Linked DNA regions of Stegostoma tigrinum. The protein of the gene in region 2 purifies or fractionates together with the protein of the main gene of each other region. This does not show direct contact. Links are inferred from orthologs where the notes say so. Each region holds a gene or a part of one and is shown on either strand. Other genes may lie near its edges.

The links. Proteins that work in one complex are often made in the same cells at the same time.
Region 1: the proteins of casein kinase I (region 2) and fam83d purify together in Homo sapiens (affinity purification with mass spectrometry; 4 studies listed by BioGRID and IntAct, counting the BioPlex papers as one, with this or other methods). This does not show direct contact. The link is inferred for Stegostoma tigrinum from reciprocal best matches to the Homo sapiens genes CSNK1D and FAM83D.

The regions. Positions count from the first base shown.
Region 1 is NC_081372.1:13,693,700-13,704,807, reverse strand, and holds the start of fam83d (protein FAM83D), read right to left. Parts: upstream 4,117-11,108; 5' UTR 3,600-4,116; coding exon 3,126-3,599; intron 1-3,125.
Region 2 is NC_081375.1:27,797,033-27,807,608, forward strand, and holds the start of casein kinase I, read right to left. Parts: upstream 4,855-10,576; 5' UTR 4,515-4,854; coding exon 4,439-4,514; intron 3,974-4,438; exon of another isoform or gene 3,652-3,973; intron 1-3,651. UniProt on the Homo sapiens protein: Essential serine/threonine-protein kinase that regulates diverse cellular growth and survival processes including Wnt signaling, DNA repair and circadian rhythms. It can phosphorylate a large number of proteins.

The DNA.
Region 1 (11,108 bases), on a different chromosome or scaffold from region 2:
ATGTACATGTACATTTTATAATGGGTTTGTGATAGAGTTGTAATCCAATCTTGAAGGATCACATGACAAAAACCCTACAAGCTTTGCTCTTTGTACATCAGCGCATGTATTGCACAAGAGTGAATCACTGCACTATAATACATTTCCACAGACAGAATTACCTCTATACCAAACACACCCAGACCATGCCTCGTATTTATTGCTACCAACCTGGCTATCTCCAAGGCAGCAACAGTAGATTCCAGTAACTGGAAGTTAAGGGCATTGTGTTTCTCCTCTTGTTACTGCCATCAAATCAGCTAGCATTTCTACTCCTCCTTCTTACCTTGGTGGGTCAATTTACCATCCAGAGCAGATCAAATCAAGACTGTTTTGTGACATCTTACAGGATTCTGTTCATTTTAAAGAATGAATGCAATGCCATTTCCACCATTCTTTCCGGACTTCAGTTCTTTACAATTTGCATTAAGTGTCTTAAAAAATGTATTGAGACATCCTGAGAGACCTAATGAAACAGAATTATGATACAAGCCTCATAGAGAGATAGTGGGTAAGAAGACCAAAAACTTGATCAAACAGGTAGGTTTTAAATGGGCATCTTAAAAAGGAGGAGAAAAAAAACAAGGTGGAGAAGGATACCTGAGCTTGGAGTCTAAGCATTGGAAGTTAATTACTCCACCATTGGTGGACTTATGATTTGGAGTGTGCAAAAGGCCAGGAGACCACAGATTTCTTGGATGGTTGTGGGACTGTACATGGTAACGGAGATCAGGAGGGTAAATTAATGGATTGATTTGAAAATAAGGACATAAATTTTGAAGTCTAGACATTTGACTTTGAGCCAACTTACAGCTAAATGATTACTTTCATAGTTAAGAGTATCCTATATCATGGAAAACCAAAAGCAGTTCATTTTTGTTTTATTGTACTAGGTCCCACAAACAAGAATGTGATGATCAGATAATAGCATTAGGTCCTGGTTGAGGCAGAGGGACACCAGAGAAGAAACCCCCAGCTCTTCTTAGAATGTGCCTTGGGACCTTAACCACCCAATGGGGCAGCTGAGTCTGTGTTAGAACATGCAGTACTCCCTTGGTATTGCTCTGGGCACATCGCCCTAGATTATGTGCTTTATTTTTCTGAGCCTGGTTTGAACTCTCAGCTCTTTGGCTCAGAGGGGAGGGTGCTACCAATAGTTAAATCATTTATTCCCTCTAAAAAAAAGTACGGCATAACTTATCAGCACTCCCTTTGTGCATTCTTTACTTTTTTAGATTTCGTGCATCTGTAAAATTTTATACTTTTTTTAGTTAGAAAATTTCTGTCTGTACTCATCCTGCCTGAGGCACAGAACAATTAACTTCAGTGTTTAAAAACATGCAAATATCATTTGAACATCTAACATCCAAAACTCATGGTTTGGGCAAACATTAAAAGCAGTCACAGTGAACAAGAAACCTGAGCCCTATCTTATTCCGTTGCAGGTGTTAAATGACTAAATGAACAATAGTTTCTAGGTCAGCAACAAAATTTAGTTCTGACCTTGTTGTGCACAACAGGATCTGTTGGACCATCAATTAACCTATTTTTCGAAACCATCTGTTCAGAAAGGTTATTGCATACCTTTGGAGCAGGTGGGACTAGAACCTGGGCCCCTCAGTCCAAGGATAGTGACACTACCACTGCACCTCAAGACGGTCATCAATTAATCAGGGCACTGAATAACAGGTCAGCCTTTCACTGTCTTTACATGTTTTCACTGCAATCTTACTACGTCTAAATGCACAGACAATAAATCACAGTACCCAAGCTACTAGTGAAAACAAATTTTTCATGAAACAAATAGAACAGATCAGCAGGAGTGGCTTATTTGTCCCACTCTAGAACCAATATATTATCAACCAGAACAGTTCTATCGCCATCATATAAATTCCTCACATTTATTAGTAATCTCAGTACAAATGTTTCCCAAATATTTACCTTCTGAAGAAATTTCAGGCTTGATTCTGAACCTCTTGGAATATTATACAGTGCAAAAAAAAGCTTATAGGAACATAGAAACAGGAGTAGGCCATTCAACCCTTTGAGTTTGTTCCAGAATTCAATGAGATAGCAGCCAATGTCTGACTTAACTCCCTATAACTGTCTTTAGACCACATCCCCTTACTTACCAAAAACATATCTATCTCAGTTTTAAAATTAGCTGATCCAGCATCCACTGCTATTTGTCGAAGAGAGCTCCAAACCTTTGACACCCTGGTTGTGTAGAGGTGGTTCTTAACATCTCTCAAACTGTCTGGCCTCAACTCTCAGGCTATGGCCAAGTTGTTCCTGGCATTTAGCTTTAATTGTCTTTGAACATTTTCCCCTCTTTATTCTTCGAAGGGGATGTGAGACCCTGTGTTAAGGCTTGCATTATTTTCCTACCACAAATTCCCCTTGAACTGAACGGCTTGAAATTTCAGATTCAGCCTCATTGCATGTAGGCCAAAACAAGAAGGCTTTTCCAATGGACGGATGACCATGGAGCGGTCACTGTTACATTAAACATTGCTTCATATTTTCAGATTTAGCCACTGGTTTTGAATTGCTCCCAGCTGCTGTGATGGGCTTGGGATCTATTTAATCCTGAGTGTGCAAGGTCTGTATTACAAGGGCAGTGACATTACACAAAGACTTTGTGTAAACTGTGGGGAATCATTGCCTGGACAAGAATCCAACCCTGGGTGTAATGGTAACAGCAAGAAATCCTAATCATTACAGGACTGGAGAGTTCTAATTTTACGCTGTATCTGACAGTCTTTTGCACAAAGGTCTTAATATAGAACAAAGAAAGTGCTGAAACCGAACCCTGGGGAACTCCACCGTATCCATTCTACCATCCAAACAACACTGCTGGCTGTTTCCAGTCACTCAACCTTTCCTTCCACTGGCTAGATTAACTCTGTTAAAATATAGCTCTGTATTTTGGAAAAAGTAAGTTTCTATCTTTGGCATTTAACATGTATTAAATATTCAACATACAAGAGAATCTAGATTGAAATGAAACGTCCAAAATGAAAAACAAATCCGCGCAAGGGGCGGGTATGGAAAGTACCAGGTTAATCATATTCCCCCTAACCTACCTTCTCTGCCTTTCTGATGAGCTTCCTGATCGCCTCCTTGCAGCTGTAGATGAGCTCCCCATAGCTGGGCTGGAAATACACCTCCACCTGGGTCACACCCCGGTACCAGTTGCTCGGATACACCGGCCACCCAATGTCCAGAACCGGCACCTCAATGTCCGAGGCATCGGGGAAATAGGTCCCCGAGCTTAGGTCACTGGAGCAGGTGAAGGATTGCTCGAGTGGCTGGCTGTCTAGCCCAGGGGGGCTGATGGTGGATTGCAGGATGCTGGCGATCTCATCGGCCGACAGGAAGCCCTGGACTCTCTCTCTCTTTAGTAAGGCGCTGTAAGCCTCCTCGCCGCCGGAGATCAGCTCTTCCAAAGCCAGGCGCTGGGTCTCGCTATAAAACTCTCTCAGTCCCAGCTCCTGCCTGGCAGCACCACACCACCTGGACACGATCGGCAGGTCATCGAGGCACTGGGAATCATTCATGGTCCAGGGTCCCAGGTAAAGCTGGAGATTTCAGACCCAGAGCCTGCTTTCACCGCTCCCTTCACTCCAGGGACAGGGGGTCTTCTGCCGGCTTGCACGCCCAGAATTTGGGGGGGTTCTTCTGCCGGCTTGCACGCCCAGAATTTGGGAGGGGGGGCTTCTGCCGGCTTGCACGCCCAGAATTGGGGGGGGGGGGGCTTCTGCCGGCTTGCACGCCCAGAATTAGTTTTGCACAGACAGAAGTTTAGAGTCTTCCTTGACGAGTCTCGAAAATCCCTTGTTACAAAAGCAGCCGCGCTCCTTGACTCGCCGTATATTTTCTTCCCGTTCCCCACGATTGAAATTCACCAACAGTCCATTCAAACACAGACTACGAGAAGCGATTGGCTGCTGCGAGAGCTGTCTAACCAGTCTCCCGGTTACTTCTCCCAATCCCACCAGCTCAGGACTCTCCCTTACTTTTTACTCTTTAACGGATTTTGACAACAGCCCCATCGCGATTGGCTACAGGTTTAAATTCATCCAAAAACAGCTGGGAAAGCTCCGCCCACTCACTGACAGTCTGTTTTCACACACACACACACAGAGAATCATCACTCCTTTGCAAACTTGTACTTTCATGTCTGATCCAACCAGAGACTGATGAAGGGTCTAGGCCCGAAACGTCAGCTTTTGTGCTCCTGAGATGCTGCTTGGCCTGCTGTGTTCATCCAGCCTCACATTTTATTATCTCAGCATCAGAGGAGGCGTCTAGACCTGAAACGTCAGCTTTCCTGCTCCTCTGATGCTGCTTGGCCTGCTGTGTTCATCCAGCTCTACACCTTGTTATATCAGATTCTCCAGCATCGGCAGCTCCTACTATCTCTGTCAGAAATTTCTTTGTTTATAAAATTGATATCACCAACCCTCCAGGATTGGCCAGGGATAGAAAATCATCTGCTGGCGATTATCCACAGTGATTTTAATGAAACTTATTATTCATTTTCTTTGAATAGGTGCACAATCACTTTTTTTTAAACCTGTTTAGACATGTTATAGAACATAGAACATAGAACATTACAGCACAGTACAGGCCCTTTGGCCCGCGATGTTGTGCCGACCTGTCATACCCATCTTAAGCCCATCTAACTTAACTATTCCATGTACGTCCATATGCTTGTCCAATGACGACTTCTATGGCTGATAGTCCAGAGGTAGGGATTTTTTTAAACAACCTGTTCAGACATACATCTGTAGAACAGGTGGGTCTTGAAGCCTGGCTCAAGAGGACACTGCTAATGCGACCCCACAGACATTTTCAAGTTTATTTGCTAACAAGATGGTTGCATGGTTGGGAGCTAGTGAAACAGTTAAAGTTAAACAACCAATTGGCTCAGAAAGTCTCCAATTGGCTGTCGAAAGTCGGTGCTCCTGGACAATAGGCCAATAGCAAGAGTGTGGGGGTGGGTCATTGGAGGTTACGTGAGGAAATCTCCCCAGCAGAGTGGGCAGTATTTGCATACCTAATATATATTGTACTACGCCGAGGTCAGTTTTCTTAAATTCATTAAGGGAATTTGGGCTTTGCTTTATTGCTGGTTCCTGATTACGCTAGAAAAAAAAGTGCTGCTGAGCCACTTCCCTCAACCATCACAAGCATTGCGTTGGAGGGCCACCCGCAGCGCTGTAGAAGAGATTTCTCGGATTTTGTGATAGTGAAGGAATGGCAAAATAGTTCCAATTTGGAGTTGAGGACGCTCTCACAAAACTGATAAAGGGGAATCAAAAGCAGTAGTATACTGGGATTTTCAGAAGGCTTTTGGTAAGGTCTCAGACAGGAGATTGGTTAGCTAAATTGAAAATTACTTGGGATAGGAGGTGATGTATTGTCATGGATTTTAGAACCAAGAACATAGAACAATAGAGCGCAGAACAGGCCCTTCGGCCGTCGATGTTGCACCGACCTGTGAACTAATCTAAGCCCCTCCCCCTACACTACCCCATCCATATGTTATCTCTCATCTATATAATTATCACATCTCCCTTTGCTCTGTTTTCTGTGACAACTATGATCTCCACCTTCCATCATTCTGGGGCCTTCCTTCTGTCCCACCTTTTTCCCTGTATACAGCCTACCACACTTCCATCTCTTCCTTTAGTACCGAAGAAATGCAAAACGTCAACGCTGCTTCACCACAAACCCGCCGAACAACTTCAGCACCCTCTGCCTTCGGTCCAACACCTTCCAGCCTCCGCAATACCCTGCCGCCGAGTCAACTCAGTGCCCATAACCCCCCCCCCCCCCCCCCGCGAAACGAAATGCATACAGGAATCCACTGGAAAGGGAAAGGGGGATAGCCAGCCAGACATCAAAGACCATCCCGCAGACCGACCACCACAACGGAATGGAGCCGAGACAGGGCACGCACTCCCAGACGCGCCACTTACCAGAAAGGCCATGGATGAATTATATGTAAGTTACACTTAAGTCCAAAGCATAAAAAATAACACTGCTGCACTTAACAATGCCCTCCAGATACCAAAATGCAACAACTCTCATTTATACTGAACAAAATATAATCAAATTTAACTGTAAACATTGTGACTTTGATTCATTTCACCATTGTGAGAAGACAATAAAGGTCATCAAACTTCCCTACCACATTTCTAAATTGTCCAAGAAGTGATTGACAAAGATCCCCCCCTCCCCCCGGAGTTGCTGCAGTGCCGAAAGGAGCAGACATCTAACGTGACAACAAAATGTGAGGCTGGATGAACACAGCAGGCCAAGCAGCATCTCAGGAGCACAAAAGCTGATGTTTCGGGCCGAGACCCTTCATCCTGAGATGCTGCTTGGCCTGCTGTGTTCATCCAGCCTCACATTTTGTTGTCTTGGATTCTCCAGCATCTGCAGTTCCCATTATCACTGACATCTAACGTGGTCAGGTGTAGATCAAGACAATTGCCCGACCTAGATGACGCAGAGAAATGAGAAATCAAACATCTGCACAAAAATATTCGCTCGGCAATTAGACTTAAAACATGACAGAAGAGTCATAGAGTCCTACAGCACAGAGAAAGGCCCTTCAGCTCAAACTGGTCCATGCCAACCAAAATGTCCATCCACATTAATTATGGATGGATTTAACAGAAATAAAACTCTAGAATGGTCATGTTGGCAGACTCTGATTAGTGGGGTACTCCCAGGATCTGTACTTGTGTCCCAGCTGCTCGAAGTATATATGTGATTTGGACGTGGTAACCAAATGTAATATTCCCAAATGTTCAGATAATACAGAGATAAGTGGGATAGTGTGTTGTGAAGATGTAAAGCAGTGGCTGGGCAAGAGCATGGCTGAGAGAGTATATATATTTTTCCCCTTTTATTCATGGGATGTAGGCACCACTGACATGGCCAGCATTTATTGCCCATCTCTAATTGCTGAGAGCAGTCAAGAGTCAACTACATTGCTGCAGGTCTGGAGTCACATGTAGGCCAGCCTAAGAAAGCAGTTTCTTTTCCCTAAAGGTCATTCACAAATCAGATGGGGCTTTCCCCTAACATGGTCATCATTAGAGTTCTAAATTCCAGATTTTTATTGAATCCAAATTCCACTATCTGCCTTGGCAGAGTTTGAACCCAGGTCCCCCAAATATTACTTGGGGTTCCAAATTAATATTCGAGCAATAATAGCACTAGGCCATCACCTCAACATAATAAAACTGTAAGATTATCCACTTTAGTAGGAGGATCAGATGCGCAGAATATTTTTTAAATAATAAGGTTAGAAAGTGTAGATGTACAAAGGGACCTTTGTCTGGTAGTAGGTGTCCTTATCAATATGTCACTGAAGGCTAACATGCAGGTACAGCAAACCTTTAGGAATGCTAATGAAATGGCAGACCTATTGCAAGAGAATTTGCATACAGCAGTAGTAAAGTCTCACTTCAATTGTATAGAATTGTAGAGAAGCTTGATCTGACTGCACCTGGTATACTGTGTGCAGTTTTGGTCTCCTTATCGGAGGGAGGATATCATTGGCAGAGAGAGAGAATGCAATAGGAGTACAGCAGACTTGTTCCTGGGATGGCAGGACTGTCTGACTGAGAGACACTGGACAAATTGGGCCTGTATTCTCTTGAGTTTGAAGGAATGAGGGAGATAGACATGAGTGGTATGCAGGGTTATGGGGACATTGTGGGTAAAAGGCATTGAAGTATTTGATTAACTATTATCACATTAAATGGTGCAGTGGGCTTGACATGTCCTTCTCCTGTTGCTGCGTTTCTAAGTCAGGATGATGTGGATCTTGGAGAAGAACTTGCAGATGGTGGCACTCCTATGTACCTGCTGCTTTTATCATTCTAGGTGATACTTTAATGACACAATAAACTATTATTTGACAACTGGATTATTAGAAAGGGAAAGGATTGTTGATTTATTATTTCCATTCCTCTCTGGGTTGCATACATAAGCCTATTGCTGCAAGATTTGTCTCACCCCTTGCCTGAGATGCTGTGTTGCCCCCAAACCACACTTACCTACTTATATCCATGACAGAGGTTACAGAGCATTTAGTGCATTGCCTCCCATCTTGAAGGGGGAAGTTGAGGTGGGAACAAATATTCATTCCTCAAAATGTTGCACAAAGGTGGGTTACTTACTCACCAGAGTTAGTGTTAAGCTCTGACACAGTTTCACGAACAGGATGAAAATAAACAGGGAAGAACTAAATTGGTTAAAACCTTGTGCCAATGTACTGTCCACAAAACAGTCCCAGAAAATAATGATCAGAGATAATGGGAACTGCAGCTGCTGGAGGATCCAAGATAACAAAGTGTGAAGCTGGATGAACACAGCAGGCCAAGTAGCATCTCAGGAGCACAAAAGCTGACGTTTTGGGCCTAGACCCTTCATCGAAACGTCAGCTTTTGTGCTCCTGAGATGCTGCTTGGCCTGCCGTGTTCATCCAGCTTCACACTTTGTTATTCCAGAAAATAATATTTGGAGTTTAGGCAGTAGGTACACACATCATCTCGAGTTTATTTCAATCACTTGAGTGAGTGTCAGAGAGAAATCTTTCAGTGTACTTCTTGACTTGTTCTCCATATTTTTTTCTGTACTATTTTTACCTTTCCCAAAGTAATCTCTCTGAAGTTGCAAATTCTACTCATGATGCAATGGCCATCATGAGTGTTCACATTTGATGGACTATCTGGTATTATACTGCTCATCATTTTCATATGTTCAGAGATAGGTGACTGATGATCTCCATTCATGTCAACACCTAATTGTACATGGCCAGATATTTCTTCCCAAGATTAAATGAGGCAAATTATCTTCCTTGTCCAGGTCAGCTATAACTTCTGTGTTCACTTGACTATATTCACGTCCAGTCAAGAAATATCTTGATTTTAAAACTAACAGACTAGTTTTCAAATCCCTCCATTGCCTTGGCTCTCCCTAGCTATAACCTCTCAAACCTCCAAAATATCTGTGTCCTTCCCATTCTGGCCTTTTGAGCATCTGAAATTCTAATAGCTTTACCATGAGTGGCTCACTTTTCCCCTTGGTCCCACTCCATGCAATATCTTTCCTACACCTCCTTTCCCTTGCACCTCCTGTAGCATTCCATCCACAAGTCATAGAAGTCCACAGCACAGAAAGAAGCCCTTTAGGTCATCAGGTCTGCTCTGGTCAAAAATTTGTACCTAGTATTCTAAGAATCTCTTGAAACTTCTCCTTGACCAATCCTTTAGTTCCACGAGCTAAAGTCTCCTTTGTATTGCCTTCTGACAGATTTTATTTCAAAATGTTTCCTTGAAACACATTATTACATTAAGCTACCATATGAATATGTTATTGTCCATTCTATGTTGTGACATTAACAAAGGGTTCTTTGGATGTAATGTTTTGGACATCTTGATTGGGAGTTATACAAGTGCAAATCCATTTTTCTTTATATCTTCCTTTAAAGTAGAGCAGCCAAACACAGGACTTGTGGACTCATGCCAAAAATAAATGACTGTAAATGTTCAGTAACATAAAGTACCAAATGAATCTGGAAGGGCAATCTGGCTTTGGATTACATATGACTCCAGTCTACACTGTACAGCTGACTCTTAACTGTCTTTGAAATGAACGAGCAAGCCTCAAGATTTTTAAGACAGACACAGATAGATTCCGGTCAAGCAAGGGTTTGAAAAGTTAGAGGTAGGTGGGAGTCTCGATTTGAGGTTACAATCAGAATGACCATAATCCTATTTATGGCTGAACAAGCTAGAGGGGCTGAATGGCCTATTCCTGCTCCTGTTCTTAAATTCGTAACATATGTTTGTATGTTTGTAAGCAATTTAGCCTTACAAATGACTTTTACTTGGGAAAACTGCTTACCACCTTCTGGAGTAAGCAAACAAAAAAAGACTGCAGCTTTTCCAGGGTATTCCAAATCCAAGAACCAACAATGTCTTCCTTTTTCAGCCCAAGTCACTAGCGCAGTTGACACCTGGTAAGGTAGGGTAGAGACCTTACTAATGGGATTATTCACATTAACTCCAGAAGAGAGTGATACATGTTACCTAACCAGTGACAGGTTGTGATTTGCATATGCAGTTGACAAGAGAGAGAAACCACAACAGATTAAATTGAAGTTAAATGTGAGTCATTTACACTGATTGATCCTTTTTAATATTAAGCATAAAACGTAACATAGACATTTATAAAAATATAAACAACATTCAGCACATCTATACATATATATAACTATATATTGTACAGTTTTTATTTTAACAGAAGCTTTGGGCAGCTCCATATGATACACAATTTTAATACAATTAGGTCTTGCTCCAGTGCATAAAAAGCACATGCAACAACCAAAGTCTAAACAAGCAGAATCTGCAGAAAGAGGTGAAAACACAAGTTGTGTACGCACATTGCTGACTCCAAAAACCAATGACATTGACCCATTTCTGAAAAAAAAAAGCTACTTGCAGTTCATGGTAACATACTGCTGTTTTGACCATGGACAGTCAATTTGTGCCTGCCTGTTCATCTCCCCTTTAACATAAAAATCATACAGGCACCAACCTCTAACACAAAATGTCCTAAATGGAATAACTGCCATTGTAGGCAGTATTGGGCATATTCTTCCAGTAGTTAAATCCTCGATTCAAGCGTATTTGAGAGTAGCAATAGATGTTTCAAACCAACGTGGCTACCAAAGTGGGCCTGATTCTATTATTAGCTGAAGTCCACATGTTTTTCTGTAAGTCGACAGAGGAATAGGCTCGCTTTGACAGCTTAAGCTAGTTGACTGACCTATTAACACTCATTTGAATTACAAATAATTGAAATAGGTCGCCTGTCTGATTTTTTATTCTCCCTGAGTAATAGAAGGTTATGTCAATGTTCTGACTTCCATCCTGGTAAAAACTTTCAGGCTCTTGTCATTTATTAAAACACCACGTGGTGGCCCTGGCCCAAAGCAGCTTCGAATAAAAAAAAATGCAGTACTCTGGATGCTAACATGG
Region 2 (10,576 bases):
TTGCATCAACATAGAAACTCTTCAGAACTATGAATGATCTTCAAAAGCTCCAAACACTTTGCATCACTTGTACTCATTACTCTCTGGGATGCTTGTTAAACAAATGAAAGCCTCCCACCCACATACATCTGGAGAGGTGGCCTTCCCATTTGTCCAACAAAGGAACTTTGTTTGCAGATAAGCACACACTTTACCAAAGAAAGCAACTGTCACTTAACTTCTCCCCTTTCTAATCACATCTGCCATCTATTGCTAGTGTAGCAATTTCGGGGGAACTTTGTCCCATCCCTCCCCATAAGAAGACTCGAAGTTAGACGCCTTTTCCCACCCAATTCCAAGTTGTGCAGGGTCTCATCTGTCAAGTGATTTCAGGTCACAACATCAGCTTCACACACTGCTGTTCTCAAAAAAGGAAATTGGGGCATTTAAAAGGTGTCAGACAAAACACATGCCACAAATCACCTCTAAGTATAAACAAACATACTTGAAACATTTCACACCGCAGCTTCGTGGGTCAAACAATCTAACAGAAAATTCAAATCACGTTTAAAGCTGTGCATTATTCTATACCTGCTATATTAGCTGTGTTGTTTTCAGGAAATAATTTAGTTGACTGACTTCTATTTCAGGCTATCCCAAATCTTCAATAAATTCAGAATGTAGTCTTTTCAGTTAACATTTTACAGAAAGACCACAATCAACAGAATGGAAAATCTGATGCCAAAGGAGGTTACAGAGTGGCAAAGGACACGTCCAGAAAGGGTTCTAAGATAAGGGCAAGAATTTAACATTTTAGATGCTGGCAGATTGGAAATTAATAACCCACAATCAGAATTATGGGAAAAAACATCAAACTCCTATGCATAATTAGGGATGCAAAATTCAAATACTGGTAAAACAAAAATGGGAGGCCATGAGCACAACTCTGCCTCTTGAACCACTGGAGTCATATTGTATGGTTGTGGCAAAACATCTGGTAAGTGTGAACCAAGTTCAAGTTCCAAGATCAAATGAAAGGCAATCTTACCCAGATGAGACATAAGGCAGTAAATCAGAGTTCTCTGACTTAGTGATTTTGCGCTAAAACTGCTAAGTGGGGCTAATTAGGATCAACTAAAAGCAAGTACTGGACATGCTGGAGAGCTGAAATAAAAACAGAAAGCAGAAGTCCAATATGACTCAAAACATTAACTGTGTTTCTCTCCAGAGATGCTGACAAACTGCCTAGGTTTTTTCTAGCACTTTCTGATCTTATTTCCAATGAGGTTCAAGTTTGCTTGAACAAATCTCCCAACATTCTCGGAAGGGGAGCAACAGGTTGTAAACAATTCCTTCATTTTACTAAATAAATGGATCAAAACTTCACCCCTACTTGAGCAAATATTCTGGAAGATCAATTTTACTTATGAAAGCTCACAATCTCATTTTGTTTTTGTTCTGAAGTTGCTCACTTTATTTACTGCACATAAAAGACAAAACAACTTCAAGAAGAAGTATATTTTTTAATGACCAGATGGCACAAGACTGTCAGTCACATTCAAATGATATTAAAGGGTGCTGTTACATATCAGCCGGACTGAGTTCAGAATTTAAATAGGACTTGAGGAGTACTTCTGCTTTTGAGGTCAATCTACCAAGTACAACAGTTTACTTCCAAACAATAAAGAAAATTGAAAATAAAAACAAAAAACAAAGCACTTTGATAGTCAATGATATTTGAATCGTCAGTGGGAACTAACCAGGTCTTTTAAAACACATTTCATCAACAAAAACTAGTTCTTGCCCATTCTCTAAGGCCATCTGAACAGTGTTTTATAAAACAAATTACACAATACAGCTTCAGGACAAAGAAACAAAGGAATCAAGGCCTTGAGGGGGAGGGGGAAGTGACAGGCAAAGCACAAGTCACGACAAAAGAGAGAATCCAACCAAGAATATACTGAAAATTGGTTCCTAAAACACTGCTTTTTAAAGTATATTTCAATCACAAAAGAAACACAGTTTCACAGGAATTTTACACTGAATTTTGACTAAAAAGAGATATTTAGGAATGATCTGGGCTGCCATTTAAACAAGCAGAGACTTCCCCCACTGAAGGACTAAGATTGTAGAATATAGTGACACGAATATACGAGGCCATGCAACATATACTCCTGGTATAAGGGAGCAAGTAGGGAGAAAAATGGCAAAAGACAGTGTGTCACAGCAAGCAAAGACATCATTAGTCCTTAAAATACTAAAAAGGAAATCAAGATCAAAGCAATCAGAACCTCTAGCAAGGTGCAAACAGTGCAGCAGTTGACCCTAAGTACGACCGTTATAAAATTCACTAAATTGGAGTTCTCCTTTTATTATTAAAGGAAAAATTGATTCCACAATATTTTACAGTTTGTTCACTGAGCTCTCATTTTGGCCTGGAGCATATCTGCGTAAAAGTGCGTGATTCATTTCCTGAAACGACACAAACCTTAATCATTGTTCATAAACAGGACTAGCCAAAATTTGGAAACAGTTTTAATGTGAATTTAGGAAGAGGCATACAGTACCGCAGAAAGAAATCAGAGAAAATGTAAAAATATGGTGTTCATGAAAATTCACCCCACATCACCTCACTCATTTTCAGGGCAGGATGATTTCAGTGCAGTGACAGCAATTGTAAAATAGGAAAAAAAGTGCCTGGAAAGTCTCACTATCAGAACAAGGGCTTTCAGCGGTAGGAGAGTAGTTCTGGAAAATTACCAATTCCAAGGTTCTTCTTAGCACTCTAAGAGGCAACACTATCACTGCATTTATGTTACAGCAGTACAAGGGAAGTCACAGTAGCTATCTAGAACGGCATCCAGTGAAAGAAGATACTTTTACACATCAACATGCTTCTTGATTTATTTTAGAATATTTAAAACCCATAACTGATTAATTTCCCCCTAAAAGTTGATACAAATTTTGTTAACGTTGAAATTAGCATAACACATTTAGGACTTAAGAATCAACATTCATTGTAGGAGTGAAACTGATAAGACAGTGACTCTACTAACATTGGTATAATTATTGAAAATATTTAATTGCTGTTCCACTACTGTTTTCGTTGTCGGGCTAACTGCTACTGATGGTATACAAAACAATTATTTTAATTATCACAAATAGTCGAATGGATATCAGTTTGCGCAGTTCTGTTGGTTTGCACAGCTGATTGGTTCAACATAAAGGTTAAGCTCTCCCACATGGAAGCAAGTTGCTATTTTAAAATACAGTGATAAAAAACATCCGATGCTGGAAAATACAGACCATCAGCATCTGCGGTATTTTGCTTTTGTGTTAAAAGACTTCATCCTTTTCAAATATTTAACTTTCATTATCTTCCATTCCAATGATGGACTCAATTTAATAAAAGATCAAACTGATTCAAGCAAGAATTGAAAACAACCAAATCTTAGAAACCTCATATGCAATTGTTACTCCAACTGTTGTCAGTGCATTTCGAGAAGCACACAGTCAAGATGTTGACACCAGGTTTTCTGCTGACAATGAAAAGGCTGGATTTTGGAAATGAACGATCTATACACTGGAAATGTGATGCTAACTGTGCTTTAAGATGACACTGACAGCAGTCCGATATGCGGAAGCCCATCATCATAAATTCAAGTTACAAACCTGTTACGGCTCATCCACATGTATTTGCTCCTTGATGCTCCACATTTAAATGATTAATTGCTTTTTCATAAACAGATTTACAGATAAATTACACTCCCTAACTCCAACCAAAGGGCAATCACTCTTGCTTGTATGAAAACAATGGATATTCCCAGATCCTGTTTAACGATTTTCACCAGAAACATGTCCGATTGTTTACCAACCTCCCACAATTCACTACTTTAGCACTAACAAAACAATTACTTTGAAGCATCCCTTCAACATACAGCACTATAACACCACTTGGTAACTGACAATTTGTTTTACATTCACATTACTGAGAAACATTGAAGATTTCAACCACTTCCTCTCAGATTTCCCACAGCTTGTATTTCCCAGGAGCATTACTTCATAGATCAGCTGTGGTTTTGTTTTAAAAGAAACAGCTTCGCTGGTTACGCTTCTCGTTCATGATTTCTTTGTTGCTGGGTTGAAATGACTGATATCCTATCCTTTGATTGATGGAACAGTCCATCTGTTCTGGTGAAATGAACCCTGGACATTATCTAACAGTCAGCTCTTTCCATATGTGATTCCTGAGAATCATAATCTTCCCAAGGAGCATCTTGTGGATATGGAGATTGACTATGTGAATGACAGCTTTTCTTTCTTAACTATTACCGTGTTCTTTTCCACGGGGGCCAGTGACACAAGACTAAATATGTTGCTCACACTATTTTTCAGCCGTGCTGTTATGAAGACTATTCTATCTCTTATTTTGTTCCTAAAATCCACTCTCAGTTCTTACCCAGGTATATGTCTCCGAAGGACCCGCTGCCGATTTTCCTGCCGAGTCGGTACCTGTTTCCCACTCTGAGTTCCATGGTGGGTTTCGCCTGGTGCCCACTGTGTGAGTTTGATTTTAACCCGGGTTACTCAGAGAAACTCTATTTCTCTCCCTCTGTGTGTGTGTGTGTCTGTCTGTTCTCAGTCTCTCTCACAGAGGGATTTTCACCAACACTTTTCTCGCTTCTTTCCAAATGCACCCCGACAATATCCACACCAGACGACACGTTAAACGCCGTAGATTATGCTCCACCAAATTTTATTGTCATTCTGGCCGCCTGCACGCAGGATTACATCGGATTCGAGTGACTCTCTCTCCTTTCTCCTTCCTCGGCTCTAGCTCGCCATTGCCGGACTGCGAACGGTCTGACATCACATCCGTTGTGTGACGTCACTGGACAGGGTGGTGCGACTGTCGGTGACGCCATACACATTGAGTTCCTGCAGTGGGAATCATCCTAATGTCCTCCTCTGTACACCTACAGAGAAAGCTAATGCCCCATTGCTTAATATTAACAGGCAATAGTTTTCAAGTAAGTGCATTTACCAATTGGTAATGACAGACAATTGCCCCTTGTATGGGTCATAAAGCTGTTGCCTTGACAAAGCAGATGTAAATATTGAAGTCTTAAATAAATTTTGCCCCATGGTGTATAAAAGTAGAAGTGATTATCCAACAGGGGAAAACAAACAAAAAAAACACTTTTTCCACATCTGATATTTTACATTTTATTCCACACCCACAAGGAAAATCCAATTTAATGTGAATGATGCATACTGTTTGAGTCATCTGGAATACTTAAACATGGAATTTCCTTCAGTATGAGCAGTTACTTCATTTCCAAGTATTTTACTGGTTTTGTCCTTGTACTTTAGCACATCAATAAATAAACCATATAACTCTGCAGAGATAGCTAGAACTGCAGATGCTGGAGTCAAAGACAACAGTGTGGAGCTGGAGGAACACAGCAGGCCAGGCAGTATTAGAGGAGCAGGAAAGTTGACTTTTCAGGTTGGAACCCTTCTGCTGCTCGTCTGATGTTGCCTGGTCTGCTGTGTTCCTCTAGCTCCACACTGTTGTCTCACATAACTCTGCAATTATTTTAGGATATATTATCATAAAGGCATAAGACAACTTGGAATAAGAACCAACCATTCTTTCCAGCTTTACAAATGAGTGCTTGTACATAATTCTCAAAAAGGTACCAGGCAGGTTCTGCAAGTAGTCAGGAAGGCAAATAGAATGTTTTTCATTGCAAAGGGGATAGAGTATATAAGTAGGGAAGTCTTGTGATAATTGTACAGAGCAGTGAAATTGCACAGGGAGTGGTGAGTATAGTTTTGGGCTGCTTACTGAAGATGGACACTTTGAAAATAATTCAGAGATGGTTAACTGGACCGATTTCTTTAATAAAGACATGTTGGAGAACATTCCTCCATCTACATCAACAGAGCAGAGGTCAAGAGGGTTGAGAGCGTCAAGTTCCTGGGAGTGATGATAACTGCCAACCTGTCCTGAACTTCCCACTTGGATGCAATGGCCAAGAAGGCACAACAACACCTATTCTTCCTCCGATAGCTTAGGAAATTTAGCATGTCTGTAAGGACCCTTAACAACTTTTATGGATGCACCATAGAAAGCATACTATCCAGGTGCATAACGGCCTGGTATGACAACTGCTCTGCCTACAGAAGATGGTGTGTGCAGCCCAGACCATCACAGAAGCCAACCTTCCATCTATGGAGATAACAAAGTGTGGAGCTGGAAGAAAACAAGCAGGCCAAGCAGCCTGTTAGGAGCACAAAAGCTGATGTTTCAGGCCTAGACCCTCCATCGATGAATTCCATTTACACTGCTTGTTGCTGTGGACAGGCTGCTGACATCACCAAAGATCCCTCCAACCCAGGTAATGCTCTCTGACAACATCTTCTATCAGGTAGAAGATAGAGAAGCTTGAACACACATACCAACAGGTTCAGGAATAACTTCTTTCTTGCCATTATTATACAGATGAATAGGCTCTCTAACTTCAAATAATATTGACCTTACTTCATGCACCTCCTGTGGAGTGTAACTCTCTCTGTCCAAGCACCCTATGATCTGTATGTCTTTGCTTACTATTATCTGCCTGTACTGCTCGCAAACAGAGATTTTCACTGTATTTAGGTACATGTGACTACAGTAAATCAAATTATGAGGAAAGTTTGGACAGGTGAGCCAATACCATTTTGAATTTGGAAAAATGCAAGGCGATCTTGTTGAAAAATCCTGATGGGGTTTGAAAGGGATGAGAGATGATTCGCCTTGTGGAGTAATTTATAACTAGGCGCACAATTTAAAGGTAAGGTTATCCCAATTCAAACAGCAATGAGAAGGACTTTCTTTTCTCAGATGGTCATTAAACTCTGGAATTTGCTTTCACAGAGAGCTGGAGCACTAACTATATTCAAGTCTAAGTTAGATCAACAAGGAAGATAAGGATCATCAGAAGCAGGAAGAAAACTGGGCCACATTCAGATTAGCCGTGATCTTATGAATTGGGGAACTAGCTTGTTGGGCTGAATGGTCACTCATATTCCAATTTCTTATGATCTTTGCATCTGGCTACTCTATCAGGTCCTGTAAAAGTATTCTCCTAAGCAAAGATAACTGAAGGTTCATTTTAGTTCATCTATCATAGGTACGTTGGAATAAATTCTAAGTAAATCCATTTGGTTGTCGAAATTATACCAAGCAGCCTTGATAGTTGCCTTCTTGATTTAAACAGAATCTACTTATATTATGACCCAACTTTCTAATCCATCTTATTCTATTTTGAACAAAGTAATCATTCAGCCCTTGGCATCCTTGCCGATATTCCTTCCAGCTTATGTGTTCATTGGTCTGAGATTCCCACATGTCAGTAGAGATGTAGTGCTCCCTTTCCCCTCCAAGTGATAGCTTAACATTGCAGAGCTTAGAATACAAAAATTTATTTACAGAGTCTTTTGCCTAGTACGCAGACAATGCGGCCTGTCCATCACAGCTGGTCATGCGTGACTAGACTCTTGATACTGGGGATATTGGACTGGGGGAGGATACTCACATTGAAATACAGGAAGGTGGGGACCATGGTTACTCTACAGACCATGAGCTTGATGCTGGATTTCAGGCCTTGGACTTCAAACACTCTGTTCCTTAGGCACCCAGAGGCTGCACTAATGCATTAGAGTCGATGTTGGATTCTATCTTCAATATCTGCTTACACCAAGAAAAGGCTCCAAAGTTATGGGAAATGATCCTCACCATTCAGTGACTCGCTGTGGATTTTGATAGTTTGGGGACTATGATGTGTGACAGAAGTGGAATGGTAGAGAACCTTTGTTTTCTGTATGTTTAACCTGAGGCCCATTTTCTCACATACTTTGGTGAATGCATTGACCATGATTTGTAGCTCAGCCGCTGCGTGTGTCCACATGCGAGCATCGTCTATGTACCGCAGCTCGGTGACAGAAGTTGGGGTGGTCATGGTTCTGATTTGGAGTCATTGAAAGTTGAGCAGTTTCAAACTCATCCTATAGGTTGGCCACACTTGTCAAGGAGCTTCGTGGAGATGTGGTGGACTGTTGAGAAGACAAAAATGGAGAAAAGCATTGGTGCAATAACAGAGCTCTGTTTAACCCCAGGTGGCACTTGTATTGGATGAATGGTGTATCCATTTCTGAGGATCATGATCTGCATGTCATCATGAAGCAAGCAACAAATTTCTGCAGACAGCTGAATTTGATGAAGATATTCCACAATCCAACATGGTTGACTGAGTTGAAAGTCTTTGTGAGATCGAAGAGGACCATGTATAGAGGTTGGTGCTGTTTCCTGCACTGTTCTCGGATTTGCCACACGATTGTCGAACGGTGGGAAAACAATTATTTTTCATCTGAGGTTCATATTATTAACTTTATATTCATGTTTGCTAGGTATTTGCTTTCTTTTGAATGAAATTATTGGCTTGCATCCATATTCCTCTCAAGTTTTACCAAACTATGTCTTATCTCCTCCCATCCAAATTTTCTGGATTAGAATGATTTTGTGACACGCCCTAACTTGTTTTGTAATTATTGTATTATTTTATCTGGTGATTAGTAAAAAATTATGAAGACAGGAAATCATATTCATTGGATACCATGAACAAATAGACAATAAAGCTGAGAATTGTTGAGCCATCTTATTCTTTTAACACTGGTAATAGAAATCTCTCAATTGCCCAAATGATAAATTGGGCAGAAGAATCAAATCAATTAAATGCATAATTTTTATTAATATATAGTAATTTCTCTCAATGGAAGGAAAATATCAAGAAGATATGCAAATTGTAAAACAACAAACAAATACCATATTGCAATTTATGTTGCATTTAAACAAAATGTCAAGAAGAAGAGGTTGCCTGATGGGAAAGAAATAAGACATGATCAAGCCAGGACATGGTTATAATTGATTAAAATAACTGAAGGTTCAGAACATCCAAGATCAGGCAATGTCTTTCACCCTCACTCCTTTCAAGACCAGATGCTGGGCCTTCCACTCTCTTTCTAGGAAAGGCTCAACACCTTCCAACAGTTATGCTCCCAACCCTTTGCTTCCTTTCCCAAATTCTGTGGTATATTTGGTCTCTTTATTGCATTTTGTCCAGTTTTGACTTGTTTAAAATTTCTCAACCAGAAATGTGCTCAGCGGGCTTATGTTTGGTCTTCATTTTCTCTGTTTAGAAAAGTATCAGAACATTAGAGTATTTGTGGAAGTTTGATGGCTTTGTCCAATTGTGAACCATGATAAATTTTCAGTTTTCCTCTGGTTGACAGTATTGGCAGACTACTTTCTGAGAAAATGGGTTAATTGTAGGAAAGAAAATAACAAAAGGCAGTCATAGGTATGATGTAATTTGACATGTTGCTCAATTGAGGTAAATTTCTGATGAGAAAAGGAACATAAAATGTCACAAGAATCCAATACACATACATATAATTTTATGTTTATGGTAAATTGGTGAATATGGCTGTGTTTCATTTAATACCATATATTTTGCCAAAACATAACACACTCAACAAGTTTATACAATGTTACTAAGCTTATAGGGTCGATTAATTTCATGTTTTATGTATAAACAGTCAATTATATCTCAGCTGTCATTCAAAGTCACTTTTCCTTCATTGACATTTAAATTATGTCCTTAAGGTAGATTCACAGTTTGTGTAATTTTACTTTAAAATACCCTGAATACAGGCATTCCCTAGCTGAAGTTTGCTTTAATAGCTTTGAGTTCCTCTGATGTGTCAAGGAATATTATTGTAACTTTTCAACTACATTGTTGGGAGTAAAACAATTTATTTTTGCTTGCCACCACCAGAAATGCCATTTCTGATACTTTGATAACAAAGTGTGAAGCCGGATGAACACAACAGGCCAAGCAGCATCTCAGGAGCACAAAAGCTGATGTTTCGGGCCTAGACCCTTCATCAGAGAGCTCTCTGATAAAGGGTCTAGGCCCAAAACATCAGCTTTTGTGCTTCTCAGATGCTGCTCGGCCTGCTGTGTTCATCCAGCTCCACACTTTGTTATCTTGGATTCTCCAGCATCTGCAGTTCCCATTATCTCGGATACTTGGACCAGGCTTTGTCAATTAGTGCCAGGTGAGGTGGTGTTCCATGGCTTTGTGTCCATGATCACTTTGCATCATCACTACCCTCCTGGCCCTTTAATAAACTGATGCCCTAGTCAAGGCAGCAGCACCTCCCAACATGGTTGCCACCTCTGTTTGTCACTGGCACCAGACAGGCTGTTCCCACATTCCAGATCTGCTTGGCACCTCTAATTGAGCACTGAGCTCACCTCCTCTCCAATCAGTCTGTTTACATTTAAAAACAGCATCAGGCACACAGGCAGGACCAGAAATTCACCAACTTGTCAGGGGTTTGCTGATTCTATTTTGAAAATTCAGCTTGGGGGCTCATAAATCTGTTAATAGGGATAATAAAGCCTGTTTTAGGACCTGAGCCGACAATAGCTATTTTGAATGCAGTAGGCATTAGGATTATGTGGTCTGTATGCGACGTACACATTGAT